Callithrix jacchus: one gene and its partners. The protein of the gene in region 1 purifies or fractionates together with the protein of each later gene. This does not show direct contact. Links are inferred from orthologs where the notes say so. Each region holds a gene or a part of one and is shown in the gene's direction. Other genes may lie near its edges.

What was found.
Region 2: the proteins of RNF185 (region 1) and TMUB2 purify together in Homo sapiens (affinity purification with western blotting; 3 studies listed by BioGRID and IntAct, with this or other methods). This does not show direct contact. The link is inferred for Callithrix jacchus from reciprocal best matches to the Homo sapiens genes RNF185 and TMUB2.
Region 3: the proteins of RNF185 (region 1) and BRI3BP purify together in Homo sapiens (affinity purification with mass spectrometry; 3 studies listed by BioGRID and IntAct, with this or other methods). This does not show direct contact. The link is inferred for Callithrix jacchus from reciprocal best matches to the Homo sapiens genes RNF185 and BRI3BP.
Region 4: the proteins of RNF185 (region 1) and TMUB1 purify together in Homo sapiens (affinity purification with mass spectrometry; 5 studies listed by BioGRID and IntAct, with this or other methods). This does not show direct contact. The link is inferred for Callithrix jacchus from reciprocal best matches to the Homo sapiens genes RNF185 and TMUB1.
Region 5: the proteins of RNF185 (region 1) and SIGMAR1 purify together in Homo sapiens (affinity purification with mass spectrometry; 3 studies listed by BioGRID and IntAct, with this or other methods). This does not show direct contact. The link is inferred for Callithrix jacchus from reciprocal best matches to the Homo sapiens genes RNF185 and SIGMAR1.
Region 6: the proteins of RNF185 (region 1) and ERLIN1 purify together in Homo sapiens (affinity purification with mass spectrometry; 3 studies listed by BioGRID and IntAct, with this or other methods). This does not show direct contact. The link is inferred for Callithrix jacchus from reciprocal best matches to the Homo sapiens genes RNF185 and ERLIN1.

Annotation. Positions count from the first base shown.
Region 1 is NC_133502.1:201,671,632-201,675,830, forward strand, and holds the start of RNF185 (E3 ubiquitin-protein ligase RNF185), read left to right. Parts: upstream 1-1,399; 5' UTR 1,400-1,545; intron 1,546-4,199. UniProt on the Homo sapiens protein: E3 ubiquitin-protein ligase that regulates selective mitochondrial autophagy by mediating 'Lys-63'-linked polyubiquitination of BNIP1.
Region 2 is NC_133506.1:71,038,736-71,042,722, forward strand, and holds the start of TMUB2 (transmembrane and ubiquitin-like domain-containing protein 2), read left to right. Parts: upstream 1-1,187; 5' UTR 1,188-1,727; coding exon 1,728-1,732; intron 1,733-1,895; exon of another isoform or gene 1,896-1,990; intron 1,991-2,816; exon of another isoform or gene 2,817-2,902; coding exon 2,903-3,469; intron 3,470-3,987.
Region 3 is NC_133510.1:128,182,459-128,186,436, forward strand, and holds the start of BRI3BP (BRI3-binding protein), read left to right. Parts: upstream 1-1,178; 5' UTR 1,179-1,334; coding exon 1,335-1,541; intron 1,542-3,978. UniProt on the Homo sapiens protein: Involved in tumorigenesis and may function by stabilizing p53/TP53.
Region 4 is NC_133512.1:97,129,169-97,133,110, forward strand, and holds TMUB1 (transmembrane and ubiquitin-like domain-containing protein 1), read left to right. Parts: upstream 1-1,142; 5' UTR 1,143-1,293; intron 1,294-2,044; 5' UTR 2,045-2,074; coding exon 2,075-2,469; intron 2,470-2,743; coding exon 2,744-3,095; 3' UTR 3,096-3,559; downstream 3,560-3,942. Other genes in the region: FASTK (fas-activated serine/threonine kinase), read left to right, coding at 3,875-3,942. UniProt on the Homo sapiens protein: Involved in sterol-regulated ubiquitination and degradation of HMG-CoA reductase HMGCR. Involved in positive regulation of AMPA-selective glutamate receptor GRIA2 recycling to the cell surface.
Region 5 is NC_133502.1:141,502,073-141,506,106, reverse strand, and holds SIGMAR1 (sigma non-opioid intracellular receptor 1), read left to right. Parts: upstream 1-1,234; 5' UTR 1,235-1,353; coding exon 1,354-1,504; intron 1,505-1,630; coding exon 1,631-1,831; intron 1,832-1,961; coding exon 1,962-2,054; intron 2,055-2,298; coding exon of another isoform or gene 2,299-2,351; exon of another isoform or gene 2,352-2,434; intron 2,435-2,863; coding exon 2,864-3,090; 3' UTR 3,091-3,971; downstream 3,972-4,034. UniProt on the Homo sapiens protein: Functions in lipid transport from the endoplasmic reticulum and is involved in a wide array of cellular functions probably through regulation of the biogenesis of lipid microdomains at the plasma membrane.
Region 6 is NC_133513.1:93,108,468-93,112,562, reverse strand, and holds the start of ERLIN1 (erlin-1), read left to right. Parts: upstream 1-1,295; 5' UTR 1,296-1,423; exon of another isoform or gene 1,424-1,528; intron 1,529-1,689; 5' UTR 1,690-1,700; coding exon 1,701-1,813; intron 1,814-3,507; coding exon 3,508-3,589; intron 3,590-4,095. UniProt on the Homo sapiens protein: Component of the ERLIN1/ERLIN2 complex which mediates the endoplasmic reticulum-associated degradation (ERAD) of inositol 1,4,5-trisphosphate receptors (IP3Rs).

The DNA of each region.
Region 1 (4,199 bases):
TCAGGCCCAATCTTTAACAGTTCATGGGATACCTGTAGGCACTTAATAAATGTTTGCTGAATGAATGAAGATGGCCGTCAAGAACTCCAGTGACTGCTTGGGTGCAAATCACAAGCTCATCACCTACCAGTATGTGATTTGATACAATATGTATTAAAGCTAATCCCCAGTCCATATTCAAATTTCATTACTTGTCCCAATATTGTCCATTACAACTATTCCATGACCACCACCACCCCAGTCAAGGGTCCTATTTAGAATCACACATCACATTTTGTTGTCATGCTTCTTTAGTCTCCTTTAAACTGGAACAGTTCCTCAGCTTTTCTCTGTTTTTCATGACAATGAGTTATTTTGTAGAGTGTCCTTCATTTGGTGTTCTCTAGCGCTTCCTCATGAGATGTAGGTGGTATACTTTTGACAGAAATACCACAGAGGAGATGTGTCCTCAGTGCATCTTATTAGGAGGCCTTTGATCTGACCCATTAACTAGTGGTGTTAACTTCGATCACTTTGATCTGTTTGTTCTGCTAGGTTACACCTCTGTAACATCACCATTTTCACTTTGTAATCAATAGGCAATTTATGGGAGACACTTTTAATGTTTTAAACATCCCGTTTCTCTAGTTTTACCACACATTATTGATTTTCTAACTCCACCATGTTTATTAGTTGGCATTCTACTAAAAAGAAGACTTTCCCTTCGTCCATTAATATACTCACTTCTTTATGTCTGCAAAGACTCATGAATCACTATTTTATTCAATTAGTTATATTCTATTACTATCACTACATATTTTGATTCTGAAATTGCCCTGACTTGGCCAGTGGGATCTCCTTAAAGACAGTTCCTGTGTTCTTTGACACATTCCCACGATTCTTATTACCATCATCCTTATATTCTTGTGTAACAAGATGTTCAAGTTTATCTGGTACTTTCCGGAATCAGCTTTTTCTTTTCTTTTCTTCCTGCCCCCGCTCTGTCGTCCAGGCTGGAGAACAGTGGCGTGATCTCGGCTCACTGCAACCTCCGTCTCTAGGTTTCAAGCGATTCTCCTGCCTCAGCCTCCCGAGTAGCTAGGATTACAGATGTGCGCTACCACACCCGGCTAATTTTTGCATTTTTAGTGGAGACGGGGTTTCACCATGTTGGCCAGGCTGGTCTCGAACTCGCGACCTCAAGTGATCCACCCACCTCCACCTCCCAAAGTGCTGGGATTACAGGTGTGCGCCACCGCGCCCGGCCGGAATCAGTTTTTCCTTTTGAGAGCCTGGTACTCAAGCTCTTTAAAAAGCTGCCAAGGAGCTCCAAGATTCCTCCGCTTCCTACCCGCAAGCGGAACCTTACAGCTTCGGACCTGGGCATCAGTTTCTTCCGGTTGGGGCCGGAAGTTCCTCCGAAAGGGGCGGCTCCGCGTCAGGTGACTGGAGTCCGCGTAGGAGGGGTCGGAGGTCCTACCCAACAGTTTGGGCGGTAGGACTGGCCGTTTAGCCGACTAAGTGGTACACTGGGCGGCCCCCACGGTGTTAACTGCGCGGAAGCAGGTATGTGAGGGGCTGGGGTTGGGGCGGGGGCCGCCGCGGTTTAGGGACGGGGCCGGGAGATCCGGGTCCGCCTTCCCAGGACACACGGGCTTCAACACCTGAGCCCAGGGGCCCGGAGACAGCAAGACCGGCCGTGTCTCCGCCCCCGAAAAGAGGACGAGCTGGCGTTGTGGTTCTCCGTCCCATGATTACAGATTGGGGAAACTGAGGCCTTGAGAAAGAGAAGGACTCCCACAAGTTCTCCTTTCGAGGCACGGGCACTGATTCCCATTCTATCGCCCCTGCGAGTCCGCCTCTATGATCTAGGAGTGCATTTCACGAGTTTGCCCTGAGTGGAGAAGCAGAGGCCCTGGAACGGGATGAACAGAGTTGGGCTGAGAGTAAAAAACCTGGATTCGAGACTTCGCCTCCGACAGACAATTGTGCGTTCTGGGCCAAATCTCTTCCCTGTGCTGGGCCTCAGTTTCCTTGTGTGTAAAACGGGGCAGTGTTTCTCAAAATACGGTTCTTACACCATCTGCTTTGAAATTCTCTGAGATACCGGCTTTACATTAAAGTGCAGGACTCAATTCAGATATCTGGTTTAATATCTGAGTTGGAACCTAAGAAACTGCTTTTTGAGCTTGTGCCTAGGTAGGTCGTGTCTATACCGATGTTCGAAGTGCATTGATTTTAAGTGCTTTCCTGCTGTGAGCACTAGATATCCATTCTTTCCTTTGAGGCAGCTGGTGCCAGTTCAGGAACTTTGAAAGAACTTAGTTGAGTAAAGAGAGCACTGGAAGGGAATTAACTTTTTAAAATTTGAAAAAATTATTATGGCAAAGAGGGCTTCCACTTCATATTTGGGGCTAAAAGAGGCAGAACTGGAACTAACAGGTGAGTTCTACAGGAAGACAAGATTTTTGCTTAATAGAAGAATTTAAATGAAAGAATCATCAGAGATGACCAGCGATGGAGTGAATGGATTGCCTTTGTGCCTCCTTTAGAGGGAGTTATATAGGTATTAGATGAAGGTCCTTTCCAACTTGAAAGTCTGTGATTCTAAGGAGTTATTCTGCATCTTTCTGGTGCTGACTCTGCTCTTAGGACAAATGTGACTTTTTCTTCTCTCTTTTCTTGACACTTCCATCACTTTGGCCTACATGTCCTGTAAATAAGGCCAATGCATCTGACCTTATGTAATCTCTTCCTGGTTGTCCTGTGCACCATCCTTTTTTTCAAGGACTTTGGAATGACCCAATATCTGATAGAGGTACCTTAAATGTTTGTTGAATGAATAAGTAAACTGGGTCCCACCCCGTGGGATAGTAGCTTTTTTCTAAGAACAACTTGGAAATGCCTCTGGAGATTTTGTGTTTGACCAGGAGAAGCCAGTGAACTCTTTGAATCACAGAATTGAGGAGTCTCAGTTGAAAGGACCCCTTGAGGCCTTTCAGAACAGCCTTCTCCTCCCTGTAACATAACCCCCTCTTGAATCCTTTCTTCAGCAATATGTGTATAGACGTGAGAGAATTTTTGCAGTCTGTAGGCTAGCTTTCCATCCATCAAATAAAACCAGTCCTCTTATAGACTTGACTTGCCAGTTCACACACACCACCAGTCCCAGCTAATTTTTTTGTATTTTTAGTAGAGATGGGGTTTCACCATGTTGGACAGGCTGGTCTCGAACTCCTGACCTCAAGTGATCTGCCTGCCTCAGCGTCCCAAAGTGCTAGGATTACAGGTGTGAGTCACCATGCCTGGCCTCTAGCATAGCTTTAGTTTTCTAATCAAATATCATTATTTCCTAATGTTATGCATTACAAAGCTCTACCTAAATCACTTTTTCAACAGCTGTTAGAATGCTCAGGAATGTTTATGTTGTCTTAGGGAGCAGAAGCTCCATATTATGACCCAGTTCTGCCGACTTGCTCCCCCACCCCCACAAAATAAAGGTTAGGGTTGAGCCAAAACTTTCTGCCTGTGTTTATTGACTTGCTTGTGTTTCCCAAGATTAAAAAAAAAAAAGTTGCAGCCGGGCGCAGTGGCTCAAGCCTGTAATCCCAGCACTTTGGGAGGCCAAGGCAGGTGGATCACGAGGTCAAGAGATCGAGACCATCCTGGTCAACATGGTGAAACCCCGTCTCTACTAAGTATACAAAAAATTAGCTGGGCATGGTGGCGCGTGCCTGTAATCCCAGCGACTCAGGAGGCTGAGGCAGGAGAATTGCCTGAACCCAGGAGGCGGAGGTTGCGGTGAGCCGAGATCGTGCCATTGCACTCCAGCCTGGGTAACAAGAGGGAAACTCTGTCTCAAAAAAAAAAAAAAGTTGCAAAATGCTTATTCAGGTGTTATCCAGGTGCTTGGTAAAATGATCTTAATTTGTTGGAGTTTTTAGAACTTCACAACCTAAAAATTTCCTTTTTTTTTTTAAATTGCATTTTAGGTTTTGGGGTACATGTGAAGAACATGCAAGATTGTTGCATAGGTATGCACATGGCAGTGTGATTTGCTGCCTTCCTTCCGATCACCTATATCTAGCATTTCTCCCCATGCTATCTCTCCCCAACTCCCCACCCCCCTAAAAATGTCCTTTTAAAGAAGTATCTGAATTGGCATCCTCATAAGTGTGTTCTTCAGGCCACTGGTCTGAAGAAATGGCTCTGAAAAAAGG
Region 2 (3,987 bases), on another chromosome or scaffold:
GCGGGGTTTCACCATGTTGACCAGAATGGTCTCGATCTCTTGACTTCGTGATCTGCCCACCTCGGCCTCCCAAAGTGCTGGGATTACAGGCGTGAGCCACCGCGCCCGGCTCCGTCTGCATTATTTAACCTTCAATCAGTAGTTCTCCAAAACCCCCAAACTCCAGCACTTTTTTTTTTTGAGAGAAGCCCTCGCTGTCGGGTGGAATGCAGTGGCTGAGATCATAGCTCACTGCAGCCTCGAACTCCTGAGCTTAACTGATTCTCCTGCCTCTGTGTCCCAAAGCGCTAAGATTACAGGAGTAAGGCACCCAGCCTGGCCCCAGTACGTTTTTAGAAAAAAATTTAATTGCAAAAATCTAGATAAGTTCTTGAAAGCTGGACTTTTCCCCCTTTTTGTGCCCTAAGCCTGCGCTGAATTTGTGCCTTTGAAATGCTTTCTCCCCTTCTTTCTCCAGGTCCCACACTAGCTGGGGCCGCACTCTTCAAGCACTGGATGCCGACTAACTCGTCTCCTCATCTGCCTTCCCGACTGGCCCAGAGCTGAGTTCTTACTAATCCCGCTAACCTGGAGTTCGGTGCGCGTTGCAAAGCAGTAACGAATTCAACCAGCCCCGGAGGCAGACAGCAAAGCCGGAAGAACAAAGCTGAAAGGGAAACGCCGTACCGCCTCTACCCAGCAGCGCCAGCGGAGGAAGCTTTCCGCAGACGCAAAGCCACGCCCCTTCCCAAGCACCTCCCCGCTGGCCCCCCCTCAATCTAGACTGCCTAAGGCCCCGCCCACAAGGCGTGGCCCAGCTCCAGGAGGGCCGCAATCCCGCCAACAATGACTCCACCCCTGCTTCCGCTGAGAAACCTGTCCCTTTTATTTAAAGAATACCTTTTACGTCAGCCCGCCTTCCGTATCTTTGCGTCATCAGTGCAAGGCGCGGAGGCGGGACTTCCTGTCCCTGGTTCTAACAGCTTCCGGGAAAAGCCGGAAGCGACCGGACCCTGAACAGAATCGCGGGTTGCCAGCCCTTTCCCCGAACCCTACGGAAAGACGAGTCCAGGGGCCGTCCTGGCGAGGTCAAAACATTTAGTCTGGGCTTTTCAGGTGAGAGCTTCCCCATCTAGGCACAGTGCTGGTCCAATCCACCTTTAATTTCCCATGACTCCCCGCGTCCTCAAGCCCCGCCCCCAGTTCCCAGCCCCGCCCCGAAGTTTGAGGGGTGTGGACGGTTTGTGACCCCCTTATCCGACGCTACCCCTCACCGGCAGGGAGAGCTGGGCTTGGCACGGCGGCTGGGACCAGGCAGCCCTTCAGTTCGGGTGGGCTTATGGACCCCAGTCCAACGCCGCTGGAATAGGACCATCCAAACGCGGAACTTTCGCCTCAGAAAAAGCAGGGTGCGGGACCCCTCCTCACCGCGCGGTCTGAGTACGGTCAGGGTAGATCATAGGCTGAGGACAGAGTAAAGTCCTCTGAGGCCGGACACCTGGGGTCCTGCCGGGCCCCTCCCCACGAGAGTTTCCTGTGTCTGTGCCAGTCGTTTTCATCGTTCTTCGCCGCAGTTTCCTCTTCTGTAAATCATGGTTAATGACAATTAACCTTCTTACCATCAGGGGTTAGTTGTGGGTGTGATAAATAATTGCTACCATTTATTGAGCAATTGCAATTTGCAATGTGCCAGGCACTGTGCTAAGTATTTTGCTTCGTTGATTTCACGTCATCTTCAAAACAACCTCATGAGGTAGGTACTATTTTTAACCCCATTTTACTGATGAGAAAGCTGAGGCTCTGAGAAAGTTGTCCGAGTTGACATAGCTAGTAGAACGCAAGACTGGGGTTATAATTAGTTGTTTTTCTAACTCCAGGGCCGGTATATTAAATAAGGATGTTGATGTGTTCCACAGATACTCAGTAACTACTGGGGCATTATATTGGACACTTCAGTACCAAGAGAAATACATACGATCCTTGTCTACCAGGAGTCTAAGAGAAAGGACAGGTAGATAAGTTTAATGAAGTTTTATAGGTGCTGTGAGAATAGTCTGATAATGGATTTGCCCAGGGACAGCTGTGAAAGCAGCAGATTCTCCAAGGGAAATAGTAGGTACTCCAAGCAGCAAGCAGGGATGCTTCCTGTCTTGCTAAGAAACTGCAGCAGCAGAGGCTTCACGGTGAAAGAAGAGAGACTGAGATGTGGATTGCGAGAGCCGTTGGGGAATCTTTTTCAAATCACTTCCACTTGGGGAGTGGTTATTGCAGGAGTGGGCCCATGGTGACCCAGGAGGGTGGTGTTTTGGTGTCTGTCCCACGTTGCTCTCCAGGGGTTGCCAGAAGCTTCAGAGGCGGCACATCATGTCTGCTGCATAGTGTCTGTTCACAGCCCCTACAGAGTTATCCCATTGAGGTTGTCTGACTCTGCTTTTGATGATAGGTCAGTTTTCTTTGGCTCTTGACATCTGGGCAGCCTGGATCTGTGACCAGGAATGAAATAGGCTCAAATGAGACAATCTAGTAGGGGTGGCTCATTCTCAATCTGAAAATATTCCAGGCTTTTGGATCTCTCTGAAGCCACTTTGGAGGCTGCTTAGGAGGCATATTTGCTTGACCAAGTGCTAGAAATCCTAGAGAAACTTAAGCCTCAAAGAAGCAAAGGTTTTTCTCATCAAAAAAAAAAAAAAAGTGTGAGAGAGGAAGATCACAGAACCTGAAAGCAAGAGTTTCACAATAGAGGCAAAGGGTAGGTCTTCAGCTCTAGGTTGAGGCGCCAGAATTGGGAAGGTTTGTACCCGATTCTACAGAACACTGAACTCCATTTTTTTTTTCAGGGCTGGGTCAGTTAGAACCTAAACAAACTAGAGACCTGGTTGCAACCCTCAGGCTCTGCTGATGCTATCCCCCTTTGTTCCTGCAGCGTGGACCCTGTCAGCAGCCAGGCCATGGAGCTCTCTGATGTCACCCTCATTGAGGGCGTGGGTAATGAGGTGATGGTGGTGGCAGGTGTGGTGGTGCTGATTCTAGCCTTGGTCCTAGCTTGGCTCTCTACCTACGTAGCAGACAGCGGTAGCAACCAGCTACTGGGCGCTATTGTGTCAGCAGGCGACACGTCTGTCCTCCACCTGGGGCATGTGGACCACCTGGTGGCAGGCCAAGGCAACCCTGAGCCAACTGAACTCCCCCATCCATCAGAGGGTAATGACGAGAAGGCTGAAGAGGCTGGCGAAGGTGGGGGAGACTCCACAGGGGAAGCTGGAGCTGGGGGTGGTATTGAGCCCAGCCTTGAGCATCTCCTTGACATCCAAGGCCTGCCCAAAAGACAAGCAGGTGCAGACAGCAGCAGTCCAGAGGCCCCCCTGAGGTCTGAGGATAGGACCTGCCTCCCTCCCAGCCCCGGCCTCATCACTGTGCGGCTCAAATTCCTCAATGATACCGAGGAGCTGGCTGTGGCTAAGCCAGAGGATACTGTGGGTGCCCTGAAGAGGTGAGTGGCCTGGGAAGTGGGAGGCTGCTTGTGCCCATCCCCCAGCCCTTGGTTGCCTCTAAGGAGGCTGGTGCAGACATTGGAGCAGCAGGAAAGTATAAGATCAAGCCCTCCTAAGGGCAGGTAGATACTTTCTTAGAAATACACTCTTCAGGCCAGGTGCGGGGGCTCATGCCTGTAATCCCAGCCTTTTGGGAGGCCGAGGCGGGTGGATCACCTGAGGTTGGGAGTTTGAGACCAGCCTCATCAACATGGAGAAACCCCATCTCTACTAAAAATACAAAATGAGCCAGGCTCGGTGGCGTATGTCTGTAATCCCAGCTACTTGGAAGGCTGAGGCAGGAGAATTGCTTGAATCCGGGAAGCGTTGTGTGAGCCTTTGCACTTTAACCTGGGTGACAAGAGTGAAACTCTGTCTCAAAAAAAGAAATACACCCTTCATTAGTTAAGGATAAAGATGAGGGGGGAAAAATCCACCCTCCAATTTTTCCCCACTCCCTTGCTTTGTTATTTCAGGC
Region 3 (3,978 bases), on another chromosome or scaffold:
AGCCTACAAAAAAGTTTTCTAAAATATAAACAACACAGGAAAAAAGTGTGCATAGGATATGACTAGGTAATTCACAGAAGTAACTCAAATGGCCAATACATCCATGAAAACCTTACCAGGAATCCAGAAAATGTAAGTTCAAAAAAAGAAAAGAAAGCATTTTTTATTCTTTGGATTGGCAAAAATTGAGTTTTATTTTCTTGGTTGTCTAAAAAAATGTTGGTTAGACTTAATTTGTTTGATTTAGGATGCAAACAGGGTCCTTGCATTGCATAGGTTATTGCGGCTAAGTCTTTAAGACTAGTTATCCTCCTCTCCGCTCACCTTTTATGGCGCTTATTTATTGAACAAACTGGGTCCCTGTCTCGTAGAATGCCCCACATGCTGGAGTTGGCTGGTTGCTTCTGCTGTTTCCGCGTTTCCCTTATCTCCCATATTTCCTGTAAACTGTAGGTTTGATCTAGAGGCCCCATCAGGTTCCTGCTTAACGTGTCTTGGCAAGACTCCATCGCAGGTGGCGCTGGTACTTCCTGGCACTAAGATCGATTGGCGGGACCGGGACTTCGCGGCTTGGCCCCTCCATTTTCTTTTTTTTTTTTTTTGCCCCTCCATTTTCAAGTTCCCCCACCAAACCCTCGCCTCTTGGTTTCACCCTTTTCTGGTGATCGTCTCGTGAATCCATGATTCCATTGAGGGGTGCCGAATAACTTTGGAATTGACTCATTCATCTTCATGTATTAGCTGGACTTTGCTAAAAGAAAGTTTTCCTCCCCATCCATTTTGGGGCTCAGAAATACAGTTCAGGAAGGGCAGGAGGATGTTTGACGCTTTCTTGTTGCTTAAAATTTGGAGAACGAATGAGCTGATGCTCACGATGGCCAATTTTGGGGGTACTATTATAATAAATTCAGGGAGATTACATATACATCTACCTCCTGTTTTCCAATCAGCAGCAGTCACCCGGTTGAAGCTGCTGCAAGTTTTACAGGCACGGGTTGCTTTTCCACGGATAAGTTTAAAAAGAGAATTATTTTTTTTAAATGATGAGAAGCCGCACCGGCTCGGGCTGGCTTCCGGAAGGCGGGCGCGGGGCCCCGGGGCCCGGTCGCGTTGGTCCCGCGCCGGGGGCGGGGCGCGGCGTGGGCTGGGCCGTCGCGCCTTTGTGCGCGGGGCGGGGCGGGTGGCGCAGCGGCGGCCGGGCGGCGGCGGTGGGTAAAAGCGCGGCGTGCGGCGCGCGGCCCCCGAGCGCGCCAACCCTGTCCTCGCCGGAGCCCGTGGCGGCCCAGCGCCCGGTCCTCACCCCGCACCGCGACCCTGCACCCCGCCGGCCGAGCATGGGCGCGCGCGCCTCAGGGGGGCCCGTGGCCCGGGCCGGGCTCCTGCTGCTGCTGCTGCTGCTGCTCGGGCTGCTGGCCGCTGGCGTGCAGGGGGCGCGGGGCCGCGGCGGTGCCGAGAAGAACAGCTACCGCCGCACAGTCAACACCTTCTCACAGAGCGTCAGCAGCTTGTTCGGCGAGGACAACGTGCGCGCGGCTCAGAAGGTGGGCGCCGGGCCCGCGCCCACGGTCACCTTGCCCCGGCCGCCGCGCACCTGGCGCCAGGGGCGGGCCTGCGAGGAGCGCGGCCTCCGGGGTTGCCCGGCCGGCTGGCGCGCGGGAAGAGGGGGTCCGGCCTGCGCCTCGGGGCCTGCCGCTCGCGGCCCCCGTCGGGCCTGGCCAGTGTGGGTTTGGGCGGCCGGGCCTCGGGGCGCCCTCTCCGTCGCGCCCCGCTTCTCCTTGGACCTTGCCCCCGCGGGCGGTGCGGTCGGAGCCCTCTCCCGGCTGCGCTGACGCCCGCCGCGCGTCTCATTCATTCATTGACCGCGTTTGAATGGCTCCCACTGTGAGCCAGGCGGCGCCCTCGCGCCCCGGGTCCCCACGCGGCTGCGCCCTCTCCATCTACCCCGGGTTTGTCCTGGCCTCGCACCCCGACCCCCATCCCCTGGGACCTTGTGCCCCACTCCTCCTGTTTTGAAGATTCATGGAGTTGATTTTACTTTACAGGAAAAGAAGGGAGCAAGGCGACTGGCTCGGTTGCTTTGGGAAACCGAGCACCTACTGTGTGGGGGGCTTTTCGCTTGGAGCCTTTTGTTTAATTTGGGATGGTCCAGGACCCTGCAGCCTCCTGGGAAGGGTATTGAGTCCCAGGAGGACGCAGGGAGTTTTTCCCCCATTCCCGCCCTCTGGAGCTGGGTGGAATAGGGGTGCGATTCCAGGCCGAAGTCCGCCTACCAGCTCCTGAGAAGGAGGAAGTTACTGGGGACAGTTGTGTGTGGTACTGCGGTTCCTTTGCTGTTCCCTGCGGAGGAGGGGGAGTCTTGCTTGCCGCCAGCCTCCCTGGAGTTTTGGAGTCAGAGGAGTTTGGGTTCAAGTTGGAGCTCTACAGGTTGGATGGCTTTGGGCAAGTGACTTCACTTCTTTGAGCCTCAGTTTCCTTTTTTTGTTAAACGGGGATAGTAATCAAAGCTCCTTGGTCGTGAGGTTGTTTATGAATAGCTGATACCTTCCTGGCCCAGAATCATGGCTAAAAATTAGTTTCCTGCTCATTGAGAGGGAGGGGGAAATAGAAAGGAACATTAAGGCCCAAATCAGATTGAATGGATGTTCTTATTGGATAAAATGAAAGGTTAATTGATAAGGAAAACAGTCACTTTTGACCTCCCTGTCCTATGGGCAGGGGGCACCTCTTGCAGAGGTGCGTCTGTGTCTTCATACATGTGGGGGAGAGACCGCTATGTAGGTGACCAAGGAGGGAGGCGGAAGCAGGGCTGAGCTCCTGAATGCTAAAGGTTGCCCCACCGCAGTCTGGTGGGGAGGTCAGGAGTGTGAGCGAAGGGAGTCTACACTTCCTCTTAATGCTGTTCCGGAGCCATTTGAAGATAGAAATCGATTTGTTTTAGAGCAAAAAGAAGCCTGTCTTTTTTCACCCAGGGTGACCACAGGACCCCATGTCTCTACTGACGGTGGTTCCGTATGACAATCTAAGGCCAGTAAACATGACACGTGAGTGGATATTTAAGACCTTTTCTTAAATAAGACAATCCATTCTGCAGAGCATCTGAGAATCAGCTGGTCAGAGCTCTTCCTGGGGTAAACCAGGGTTTGTTCCTTTAATAGAGATGCTAAGGATTACTAAGTGCTTTTGTAGATAGAGTAGCCTTTCATAAGCCTTAGAATGACCCTGTGCCATAGGTACTGTTCCCATTTGACAGATGAGGAAACAGGCACACACAGCAGTGAAGTGGCCGGTTTCAGGTCAGACGAATGGCAGAGCCAGGATGTGAACCCAGGCAGAGAGGGGCACGGAGCTCACATTAGTGTCTCTCACCTGTTTTCCTGCCTCATGACCCCTTCCCTGTTCCTAAAGTCAGTGCAGCATCCAGAGGCTGACCTGACTTATTCTTTTTGTTTGTTTTTTTGAGATGGAGTCTCACTCTGTTGCCCAGGCTGGAATGCAGTGGTGCGATCTCGGCTCACTGCAACCTCTGCCACCCAGGTTCAAGCCATTCTCCTGCCTCAGCTTCCTGGAATTACAGGCACATGTCACCATGCCCAGCTAATTTTTATATTTTTGGTAGAGACGGTTTCACCATGTTGGCCAGGCTGGTCTTGATCTCCTGACCTCAAGTGATCCGCCCACCTTGGCCTCCCAAAGTGCTGGGATTACAGGTGTGAGCCACGGTGCAAGGCCCAGGTGCTTTACTTCTCTGTGTCTCATTTGTGCAGAGGAGATAAATTGGGGAATTAGAGGAGATTGGTTGGGCTGTACAATGCCAGGCACTGAATAAGCATTTAGTAAATGGTAAAATATTTCTATATGAAAGGGATTTGTCCGGTAGAAGAGTGATAGACTTATTAATTCCTTTAAAAAGTATTGAGTGATGGCAGGGCATGGTGGTTCACGCCTGTAATCCCCAGCACTTTGGGAGGCCGAGCTGGG
Region 4 (3,942 bases), on another chromosome or scaffold:
AGGTAATCTGTCCAATTCAGCCTCCCAAAGTGCTGGGATTACAGATATGAGCCACCGTGCCTGGTCATAGTACATATTTTGAAAACATGAGTGAATGAACAGGAGGGAAGGAACTAGAGATAGGTTAGTTCTGTATGGTATCTATCTGGACTGACATTCCTAAGGCAATATTTGCTCCCACAAGTAGACATGAACTATGGGAAGTCTAGGATAGATTATTTTAAATCAAGACTGACCTGTAAAAACCAGGATGTGAGATCTCTGTGGCTGCAGGAGCCCAGAGGGAAAAATCCACAGATATCCACAGGCCTGGGATTCAACACCATTCACACAGTAACACACCAAGGACCCAATTCCCGAGCCCAGGTTTGGGTAAAGGGAGTGTACCAATACAAATATTTACTGTGTGACATGTACCTTACATAGTTTTCCCTTTTTTGAATAAATCATCTAATTTCTTCCTTATGGATGACTTACAAAGCATGCTTTAGAAAGGAAGAAATTAATGTTCAGAGAGATGCAATAACCCACCCAAGGTCATATAGCTGATAAACACAGGATAAAGGATCAGGATTCGTGCCAGGTTCCAAAGTCTATGCTTCTTTGATAGTCCTGAAGGGGCAAGGTTGAGGAGCGGGACCAGGGTAAGGGGCAGCCCTGAGGATGGGTATCCCTAGCCAGCCTGGTGGGGCAGCCCATGGATATTGGGCTCTGGGCTGAAAAATTAATTTCGGTAGCCAAAGCGCCTTCTGGCGCCCAGTCTGACAGAAGGGTAGGGGCCCCCTGAGTTCCTCAGAGCCTTTCTCACTGCATTACGAACACCCGCGCTCTGACGAGCTCCAGCTGACGTAGGTATCTGGTGTAACAGATGCCCTGGCTGTTGGAGGGGGAGGGGGCAGATCCTGCTGCGGTCCAAATCCCTAGGGGGTAGCACAACCCCCTCCCCTACAAAGCCGCCCCCACCGGCCCCTCAGCGATCTGCAGACGCCGGGAACCGCCGGTAGAGCCCCGCACGTGGGTCCGCAGGGCAGAGGGCGGGGACAGCGCGGCGCCGGACTACAAGTCCCACAATGCCCCTGGCTGCGGCGGCGGGGAAGGAGGGGTGCTTCAGGTGCCTATGACCTCCGCGCCTCCCGCCCGGAAGTGCCCGAGGGGCCGCGATGGAGCAGGGGGACGCGGGCGGTGAGTCTCCGCGCCGCGACCGCGCCCACCCCGCCACCCAGGGCCCCAGCCGGGCCCCGCCCGCGCTGCCCCGGATCGCCGTGCCCTCCTGCGGCTCCGGGGGGCGGGAAGGTGGGAGGGGTGACAAGGGGTGGGGGCGGGGAGCGCGAAGTCTCGGATTCCCGGCGGGATCTGGGGTCTGGCAGCTGCGGGGCTTGGAGAGGCTTCCAGAGGAGGCGCAGAGTTGGGCCTCCGGGGAGAGGGGTTGAGGGGATCAGGAGGGGGCCGAGCTGGGTGGGTGGTGACGCTCGGAGGCTCCAGATTGCCCAGGGGCGAGTTTGACGTTTGCTGTGGGAGAAGCCTGGGAAGCAGTCCGGTGCCGCGGGTGGGGTTTGGGTGAACGGTAACGCTGTGGGTGGGGGGATGGGGATACAGAGGCTCTACCCCTACCTCGGAGAAACTTTAGCAACGGAGTAGATGAGCCTGGGGTGAAGTCGGTGAAGGAGTAGACACACTAGAGTGAAGTGGACGGAGAATAGATACGCTTGGGGGTGAAGTTTGGTCGGGGTGACGTTTAGGGGAGGCATTGCTTAGAAGGTCGGGGCCCTTACCTTGAGATAGGGTTTAGGTGAGCTGGGAGCTGGTTGAAGACCTCGAGCTCAGATGACAGAAAGTTAGGACTTGGGATTCGGCGATGGGAAAGGGCACCCGGACGCAAGTTTGGGGCAACTGGGAGGCAGAGCAGCCGGTACCCTGGGGTGGGTGAGGGGACGGGCTGAGGACGGTGGGATCATAGCGGTGGAGTGGGGGCAGGATCCTGTGGAGGTTCTAGGGCCCCTAGCCCGGGGGGCTCGCGCCTCACGGGCTCTTTGTGCCTCTCCAGCTCGGTAGTGCGGCGGGCAAGGCAAGCGCCATGACCCTGATTGAAGGGGTGGGTGATGAGGTGACCGTCCTTTTCTCGGTGCTTGCCTGCCTTCTGGTGCTGGCCCTTGCCTGGGTCTCAACGCACACCGCTGAGGGCGGGGACCCACTGCCCCAGCTGTCAGGGACCCCATCGCCAGCCCAGCCCAGCGCAGCCATGGCAGCTACCGACAGCATGAGAGGGGAGGCCCCAGGGCCAGAGACTCCCAGCCTGAGACACAGAGGTCAAGCTGCACAGCCAGAGCCCAGCACTGGGGTCACAGCAACACCGACACAGCCAGCCCTGGACTCCCCGCAGGAGCCCCTCGTGCTACGGTTGAAATTCCTCAATGATTCAGAGCAGGTGGCCAGGGCCTGGCCCCACGACACCATTGGTTCCTTGAAAAGGTAAGCAGGGCAAGAGGCAGGAGCAATGCTAAAGACAGGGATGGGGGGACTAGTAGCAGAAGGCTCCCAGAGAGGTCTGAGACCCAGCCCTCGTTTATACTGGAGGCGATGAGCGCCCCACATCACAACTACACTTGTTTCCCTGGCAGATGGCCCCTCCCAAGCCAGGACCTGTGCGGTGCGGAGGGCAGGGGGAGGGTGGGAGTGCTGCTCCGGGACCAGGGACTAGGATTGCCTGAGGCCTGCTCTCTTACCCAGGTCCCTCTCTCCTCAGGACCCAGTTTCCCGGCCGGGAACAGCAGGTGCGACTCATCTACCAAGGGCAGCTGCTAGGCGACGACACCCAGACCCTGGGCAGCCTTCACCTCCCTCCCAACTGCGTTCTCCACTGCCACGTGTCCACGAGGGTCGGCCCCCCAAGTCCCCCCTGCCCTCCGGGGTCCGAGCCCGGCCCCTCCGGGCTGGAAATAGGCAGCCTGCTGCTGCCCCTGCTGCTCCTGCTGCTGCTGCTGCTCTGGTACTGCCAGATCCAGTACCGGCCGTTCTTTCCCCTGACCGCCACTCTGGGCCTGGCCGGCTTCACCCTGCTCCTCAGTCTCCTGGCCTTTGCCATGTACCGCCCGTAGTGCCTCCGCGGGCGCTTGGCGGCATCGCTGGCTCCTCTGGACCTTGCTCCCCGCGCCGTGGCGGGAGCTGCTGCCTGCCCAGGCCCGCCTCTCCGGCCTGCCTCTTCCCGCTGCCCTGGAGCCCAGCCCTGCACCGCAGAGGACTCCCGGGGCTGGCAGAGGCCCAGCCCTGCGCTCGCCGTGGCTCGGGGCCGCCTCCCGGGGCTGCTGGCCCTCAGCCAGCACTGGGAGTCGGCTCCTCGGGGTCAGGGACCTGCTGTCGCTGCCTAGGCCCCGGGCAGAGACGGGCCGCCCCCCGGGCCCGTCTTAACGTGCTGCCGGAGGACCCAGCCGCCTCCAGTCCCTGACAGCACCATGGGCTGAGTTGGGGACGCCAGGACCGTGGGAGGCTGGTGAAGGGGAGCGGGGAGGGGCAGAGGAGTTCCTCGGAACCCGTGCAGATTAAAGTAACTGTGAAGTTTTCACTCTTGCAGTGTGTCTGAGTGTGTGCGGAGTGGCGGGCGGGGAGCCCTCGCCGCTTGGGAGAGAAGGGTACAGACTGCTCCGGACGCTCTGGTCCACCGCTATCCCTTCTGGGTGTTCCGCCTGGGATTCGGCGCGGGCCTCCGTGGTCCCGCCCCCGGCGTCGCGCGCGCACTTCCCGGGGGCGGGCTCGCGGCTCCCTGGCTCGCAGTGCCTGCCGGGAGCCACGTCTCCGCTGGCCGAGCGCAGCTCCGGGATTGGTGTCCCGGCCGCGTTCCAGGGGCTGCTGGGAAGATGGCGGACTCGGCGGCCAGCCGATGAGGAGGCCGCGGGGGGAGCCTGGCCCCCGGGCCCCGAGACCGACTGAGGGAGCGACCTGCGCAGG
Region 5 (4,034 bases), about 60 Mb from region 1:
AGACAACTAGTAGGTAGGAGCCAGGCTTTGAACTCAGGCAGTCCAGCGCCGGAGTTTATTTCTTAATCACCTCACTATGCTGCTTCTTTTCTCTTTTGTTTGTTTTCCTGTTAGCTTTCTTCTTCCTCTGCCTACCCTTTGCTGTTGGTGCTCTCCCAGGCTCTGTCTTAAGCCTTATCTTACTCTATTCTCTCTCCCTGGGAGATTTTATCCATCCTTAGAGGTATTCTGTAGACTCCTAGAGAGATCTCTAAAATGGGGAGTGGGACCATTGTTTCCAGCCATATCCCTAATGGTCACCACAAAACTTGGCACATACAAGTACTAACAAAACATCTGTTGCCTGAATGAATGATAACTCCCAGCTCTATCTCCAGACTGGATCTGGGCTTCCAGACCTCAACACTCGATTGCCAGCTAGATATGCAAAGGATGTTAGCCAAATAAGGGAAAAGTGGGGATAGGATAAAGGGGGAAGAGTATTCCAGGAAGAAGAGATCAAGCCCTGCCAAATCCATTTCCAGAGTTGTTAAGCTCATTTCTTTCTTCCATCTCCACTTACAGACCTTCTCTCTTACTTGGACCACAGTCATGGTCTCCCTGCCTCATCTTGCTCCCCTCCACTCGGTAGTCCTGTGCCACTCGGTGACAAAATCTAATCCCTTTCCTCCCCTGCTGATAACCCACAGCTGGTTTACAAGGCCTCCTCTCACATTTTGTGCTGCAGAACAGAGAAGGAATTGTAGGGCCCTGAAGACCCCACGCTGTCTCTCCTCGGGGGCCTTTGCTCTAGGGGCCTGTCCCTGTGGGCTGGCATGCCCCTTCTCCGCGCTCTTAAAGACACAGCTCAGGTGTCACCGCCTCTGGTATGCCCACCCTAGGGCCCCCAGCTTGAACTACCTCCTCTCCGTTTAAGTGCTGGTTATGGCGGGCCTTAACCATCGTGAGTCCCAGAAGGCTCCACTTCCGGGCTCGTCTTCTTCACCAGCCAGTGAGCTTGTGTGGACTAGTCCATTCTGGGTCTCACTACCCCCATCTCTATCCCCATATAGAGTGGCGTTAGGTCAGACCACGCCTGAAAACCCTGCCTCTGGCAGCTGGGCGACTTCGCTCCGCCCCCTCGTCTCCTGTGCGCGGTGCAGCCCCTCTCCTCCGCGCTCCCCCCGAGGAAATGGTTCGACCGAAGCGGGTGGTGCCGAGGTGCCCAGGCCGCTCCGATTGGTCAGGGCGAGCTGTACGACAGCGGTGGCGGGGGAGCGCGTCGTGGGCAGCCGGCAGGCTCCGAGGCGGTGAGCGCAAAGCCTCAGGCCTCGGCTCCATCCTTCGCTGCGCCGTGCCAGGCCGCCCGCCGGGATGCAGTGGGCCGCGGGCCGGCTGTGGGCGCGGGCCGCGCTGCTCCTGGCTGTCGCAGCGGTGCTGACCCAGGTCGTCTGGCTCTGGCTTGGTACTCAGAGCTTCGTCTTCCAGCGCGAAGAGATCGCGCAGCTGGCGCGGCAATACGCTGGTGAGCGGGCAGAGAGCGGGGAGGGGAGCGGCCGGTCCGGGAGCCGAGACCAGGGTTCCGAAGGTACCATTACTGGGCCGAGGACCGGTGCCGGCCCTGACTCCACCGCCCCTCTCCCTCCGCCAGGGCTGGACCACGAGCTAGCCTTCTCTCGGTTGATCGTGGAGCTGCGACGGCTGCACCCAGGCCATGTGCTGCCCGACGAGGAGCTGCAGTGGGTGTTCGTGAATGCAGGCGGCTGGATGGGCGCCATGTGCCTTCTGCACGCCTCGCTGTCCGAGTATGTGCTGCTCTTCGGCACCGCCCTGGGCTCCCGCGGCCACTCGGGTCAGTGCTAGCGGTGGTCTGGCCTGGGAGGCTGGGGTTGTAAAGGGGCCCATGCCCTCCTTTCTGATGTTTGGCTGGGCCGTTGCGATGGCGCGAATACTCTGATAGTGTCCATGTGATTGTCACTCAGGGCGCTACTGGGCTGAGATCTCGGATACCATCATCTCTGGCACCTTCCACCAGTGGAGAGAGGGCACTACCAAAAGTGAGGTTTTCTACCCAGGTGGGTAAGGAGGCTCTGTCAGAGAAGTGGTTCCCTTCACGCGGGGGGTGCCCACGATTGCGGGGAGCATGGCATGGAAAAGGAGTCTGTTGGGGGGGCCCTCCTTATGGTTCCCTTCCTCCACCCTCCCATAAGCCACAGGTGATTGGTTGGGGCAGAGCTGAGGAAAGACTTGTGCTTTCCTCTGTCAAAAGGAAACAAAACATAACTTCCTGCTAATCATGTCTGATTTTTGTCTGCCCAGGCACAATTTTACCCAGCCAATATTCCAGCAACTGCTGGGGAGACAGTGGGTAATCAGAAATGCTTTCAATACCCCAAAGACAAGACAAACAGTTATCTTTTCTGTTTTTTAATAGTAAAACAATTAAGAAGTAGCGCACTGGACTTCCCAGTATGTTTGATGTCAGGTGTATGCATCGCGGGCATGGTGGTTGAACAGCAACACTTTTCAGATAAAGCCTCACAAGTCCTGGAACTACCCCTTCCCTAGCTACAGCCCAGACTAGGTTTGGCTTAATTTCTGCTTGATTTGAGTGAGGCTTGGGAATGCAGACTTGCATACAATGGGTCCATGGCCAGGCAAGGTAGCCCTCCATGGCTTCCCCCAAGAGAGGACACAGGCCAGGTGATGTCACAGAACATGTAGGAGTGGCCGTTTCGGCCAGCCCAGTGAGGTAGGGCTTTTTGTTTTTCTGAAGCTCCCTCTCCATTCCCCACCCCTAGATAGCCCATGGGCCAGGGAAACAGCAGCCATGAAAGGGAAGGGCAGAGCTAGGCTCCTCACTCGGGTGCTCCCTGTCCCCCAGGAGAGACGGTAGTACATGGGCCTGGTGAAGCCACGGCTGTGGAGTGGGGGCCAAACACATGGATGGTGGAGTACGGCCGGGGTGTCATCCCATCCACCCTGGCCTTTGCCCTGGCTGACACTGTCTTCAGCACCCAGGACTTCCTCACCCTCTTCTATACTCTTCGCTCCTATGCCCGGGGCCTCCGGCTTGAGCTCACCACCTACCTCTTCGGCCAGGACCCTTGACCAGCCAGGCCTGAAGGAAGACCTGTGGATGGACAGGAGCGGGCAGGCCCGCATATATCCACTTGCTGGAGCCCATGTTTACAGACAGGGACATACTCACACCATGCAGATCCTGAGTTCCTGCTGTATAAGCAGGGATATCCATGCTTATGTATCCAAAAACAGAGACCCATGGGAACAAATGAGACACATATAGACACTGAGACCTGTGCGTACAGTAGGACCATGCACTCACACCCATCCAGAGAGGGAGCCCCTGGTATACCAAGGGAGCCAGTTGTGTTCAAACACACATCACAAGCTTGACTCACTAACTCAGGCCTTTCCAGAGCTCCACAGCTTCCTACCCCCTCCCCACCAAACGGGTTCTGGAGTTAAGGTTGGGAGAGGGTATTATACTGTCTCACTCTGACTCCTCAATCCAGCAGCAATTTGAGGGGGAAGAGGAGCTGCCCTTTGGAGGCCCCTTTCACCTGCAGCTATGATACCCTTCCCCTTCTCCCCTGTCCTCACCATATGCCTTATCCCCTTTCTACTCCCCTGCTATGCAAGTGCCCCTGTGGCTTGTCCCCAGCCCCCTCAGCAACAAAGTCAGCTGGGGAACCAGAGTAATGTGAAGAATGCTTGAAGTCAGAGTCTTCCATCCCAGAAAGACCCCCATTCCTTCTTTGGAGGTGTGATGGGGAAACTGGTTTCAGCCCAGGACCCACCACTGAGGAGAGGATCTAGACAGGTGGGCCTAATTCCAAGGGGCCCTTCCTGGCCTGGAGAAGGCCTTTTACACACACAAACACACACATGCACATAAATACACACACAGCCCCTGTTGCATTCTCGATCCATCTGTCTGTTTCTGTTAATAAAGATTTGTCGATCTGTTTCATCTTTTTCTGTGTCTGAGCAGCCGGAAAAAGCCTCTGACTCCTGGGGACCTCTGGAAGATA
Region 6 (4,095 bases), on another chromosome or scaffold:
TTACCTTTTCTCACTTCCACTATTAAGTAACCTTAGGCCTGCTGTTTCCTAACCACCTGGCTCGCTTGCCAATAGTCTGTCTCCACTTTCAGCCCTTTTGTAGATTCATTGGCCTTAAAGCACTGCTTTCCCATATTTCCCTACCCAAGAGTTCAGGGGTCCCCAAGCCCTGGGCCGCGGGACCACTACCATACAGTGATCTGCTAGAAACCTAGCCAGACAGCAAGAGGTGAGCAGCGGTCGAGCGAGCATTATCGCCTTGAGCTCTGCCTGCTATTAGATTAGCCCATGGCATCATATTCTCATATAAGCGCGAACCCTATTGTGAACTGCATATGCGAGGGTTGCGGTCTCCCTGTGAGAATCTTAACTAATGCCTGATGTTCTGAAGTGGAACAGTTTCATCCGAAACGATTCCCACCCCCCCACCCCCCCCAACACAAACCCACCCGTCCGTTAGAGGACTTTCCAACCCTAGTCTACCTTGTCCATTACGGTTCCACCTCTAGCCATTCAAGGCTTACACCATTAATGCCCTTAATTTCTCTTGTATTCATCTATCTCCCACCTATACCTTTTTCCTTGCCTTTTTTATTTTTGGCAATATGTGCACATGGTTTAGAATGTAAAACGAACGAAGAATATGTAGTGACGGCTACCATAGCACTCCTTTCCAACACACAAGCCTTCAAGGAAACTGAAGTACTTACTTTGGTCTCCCTGGAGGACAGTCCTCCGCTTCCCGCCGCATGTGCTTAGCAATTCTGTTCCTATTGCCTGGATGACCTTCATAAAAGCCCTCACTGGACCAGAATTCTAGCACGTAATAGGAACACAAGCAAGAGAATGATGCAGTTATATTTAACATCTTTCTCTTCCTAACTTTCACAGCACTTTACTTGCAACAAGTTTGGTTGCTTCTGAAGTGCAGGATCTGTGCCGGAAGCACGTGCGTGCCACACAGTGGGGCTCCCCATATACCGCAAAAGGACAAACCGAACAGCTACAGCTTGAGAGTGAGCGAGTGGGTTCACTACACAAGAACAAACCGACCTTGTCCGAAAGGCCCTCTCCTTTTCTCTGCTTCGCTGCTCACTCCAGACCCCCAACTGTCCTCTTCCGAGCAGTTAACTAGCAGTGTACAGAAAAGCGACTTGCCTTCAAGGGAGCCTGCGCAGCCGCGCGGCTGGGAGAATTTTGTCCCGTGCGCTCCCCGTCTCACTAGTCGCGGACCGGGGCTACGCCTTGTGCGTCCCCGCGCAGCCGCAGTGCTGGGCGAGTGGGCGGGGCCGGCTGTTGGCGGCTGTTGGCTCTGCACGGGAGTCGGCTGCACGTGCGGGCGGGGGCGATGCGTCACTGATCGGTAAGGCGCGGCGCGGCCGAGGGATCAGCTTTCCTCCCAAGCCTGAGGCTGCACTCCTTAGTTAGTGCCTGCCGCCGGGGAGCGACCCTTGGGAGAGGGGGTGACAGGAAGCTCACCGAGCAGGGGCGGCCCTCCGACCGCCTGGGGCGGAGAAGTTGGCAAGGGGTCAGCGGGCTCCGCCAGGAGGAAAGAATGAGGGGACTGGGGCACTGGACTCCCCGGCTCAGGCTGCTAGAGAGCGCCAAGTTTCCGGAGGGAGAGGGTGGAAACTGGAGGGGGTGGACCTGTCACTCACGGGACTGAGGGTCTTTTTCTCTCGCTCCCAGGAGGAACGAGGATGAATATGACTCAAGCCCGGGTTCTGGTGGCTGCAGTGGTGGGGTTGGTGGTTGTCCTGCTCTACGCCTCCATCCACAAGATTGAGGAGGGCCACCTGGCTGTGTACTACAGGTGAGCGGCATGTGCAGTCAGTTCGAGCACTAGAGCAGATAGAAGGGTACTCACGTTAGAGTGGAGTCTGGGAAGTTGTTCCCTCTGCAGCGTTCGGGGACGCACGTCCCATCTCTAGGGAAAGCACGGGGGTCGAAGAGGGCTTTTGCTGAGCACCCTCCAGGTGCTGACAGTTTTAGTGCTATGTTCGTTTTGCAGAGATTAAGTCTCCCTACAGTGAGTCTATACACAGCAAACTCAATTTTATTTTGTAGAAAAATGAAGAAGGAAGAAAGGAAGTAGTCTTTGTACCTCTGACTGAAGACATGGATAAATTATAGATCGTGCAACTGTACAGGCTTTAGTTTGCCACTATAGACGGTGTACAGAAAATTTGGTTCTGTTTATGGTTGTTCTTTAGACTGTTTCGCTTAAAAGCTTCCAGTGTCTGGTTACGTCTTACAACACCGTGATAACAGTGATAGTTGTTATATCCCTGCACCTCCTGGGACATCAGCACAACACCGATGGGCCGTCCTCCTCCTCACTGTTTCTGTTCAGGTTGGGGACAGGAGTGGTATGGAAGCTGTTGCTCTCTTGTTGAGCCTGCTTAGCTTTTCCTTCAGCCTAATTACCACAAGTTCCTTTTGATATAGACTAGTAAGAGAGAGGCCAGTTTGTGGAGAAATTGGAATAATGGTGTATTGAAAAAGAGCGTCAACTTTTTGCTTTTTTCTTTTATCCCTCAAAACTGATATTTCTTTCAGATCCATCCAGAATCCTAGAAAAAGAACAATTTTAGTGGTATATCTTAGCAGACGGACCTCTAGAGTAAGAGATTACAGATCAGCCCAGATTTCCTTCCAGTTTAGCATTGTCTGATAGTAAAACCGGAGAAAGGACATTTCAACGAATGGTTCAAAGAATTAGTGATGAACCTAAAACAGTTCATCTTTTCTTTATTATGACTTTGCCAACGTGTTTATATTTTCAAGACAGGAAGCTAAGTTCTGTGAATTTACAAGGCGCAAAATAGGACTTCTTTGTTTTATTTGCTCCCCAAATACCTCCTTTTTATAGTGCCCTTATAGGGCTTGCTTTCCTAGTTCTCACATTCCAGGATTTGGTGAACAAGCCCTTATCCTATCTATTTATATGGTCTTGCCACCCTTCATCTTTTCATGCTATTTTTTTTTGTTTTTTATATAGAAACTTTATGTTCCCAATATTTTAATTACCTTGCCAGTAGATTGAAAGAATTATAAGCCTCAGAAATTTTCTCTTTAAAGTTTGTGTTGTCTTTTTCTCAACCTGGTGATTAAATGTGTTATATATTTTGATTTTGTTCTTGTTGTGTACAGTTGCTGTAGGTACATTTACCTCTGTTAAAAGCCATTGTAATTTTTTAAACAAGTATTTCTCAGAAAGTTAAAGACCAAGGAGAATCCTTTGAACCTAAGGGCAGTGCTGGAGACCCAGAGGTGCGGTTAGTTGAGCTTACGAAACAAGGTGTAACATTGACAATTCAGTTTGATCTTTTTGCCTTTTTAGGTGTGGAGGTATTTTAAGCAGTTGTTCATTATGAGTAATTAATGTTAGTGAGGCTTTAGTAGGTCAGTAGCATGAGTAAGAGTGGGTATTTATTATAGCACTTTAGATTTGGAAAGATAATTTATCTTTTTATGATTTTGTCAAATTGAAACATCTTTTTGCAGGGGAGGAGCGTTACTAACCAGCCCTAGTGGACCAGGCTATCATATCATGTTGCCTTTCATTACTACGTTCAGATCTGTGCAGGTGAGTGATTCCTAGGGAAGCCCCCATACCAGATAGACAGGTATGACAGGAGTTACCACACTTGTGGGTAGAGATAGATTTCCCTATTGCTTAAGCAGGTGGTGGTATTTGCCTAAATGCAGCAGTTAGCGTTCAGAGTACAGTTGTTACAACACAGGTTATGTTTAACCACCCCGCTTGCATGAAATGAGTTAAAAGTATGAACTAGGCAATTAGGAAGACTAACTTCTGCCATCTGTATAGTGGTATGTAGCAAATTTTCTGTTGCTGCTTTCACAATAAAAGCAAGAATTAGGAACACAAATAGACATAAAAACCAGTGATTATGTGGTTTAGAACAGTGTTTGGTTTCCATAGAGGCAGGCTCCTGGGCTACTGTTAACATGGAGGATCAAAATTTTTATACACAGCTTTTCTGCCTCTTTTTTTTTTTTTTTTTGGCCTGGTACATTAAGCACAATTTTATGTAGAACTTTAGTACATATTATATTTTGATGACATCTCAG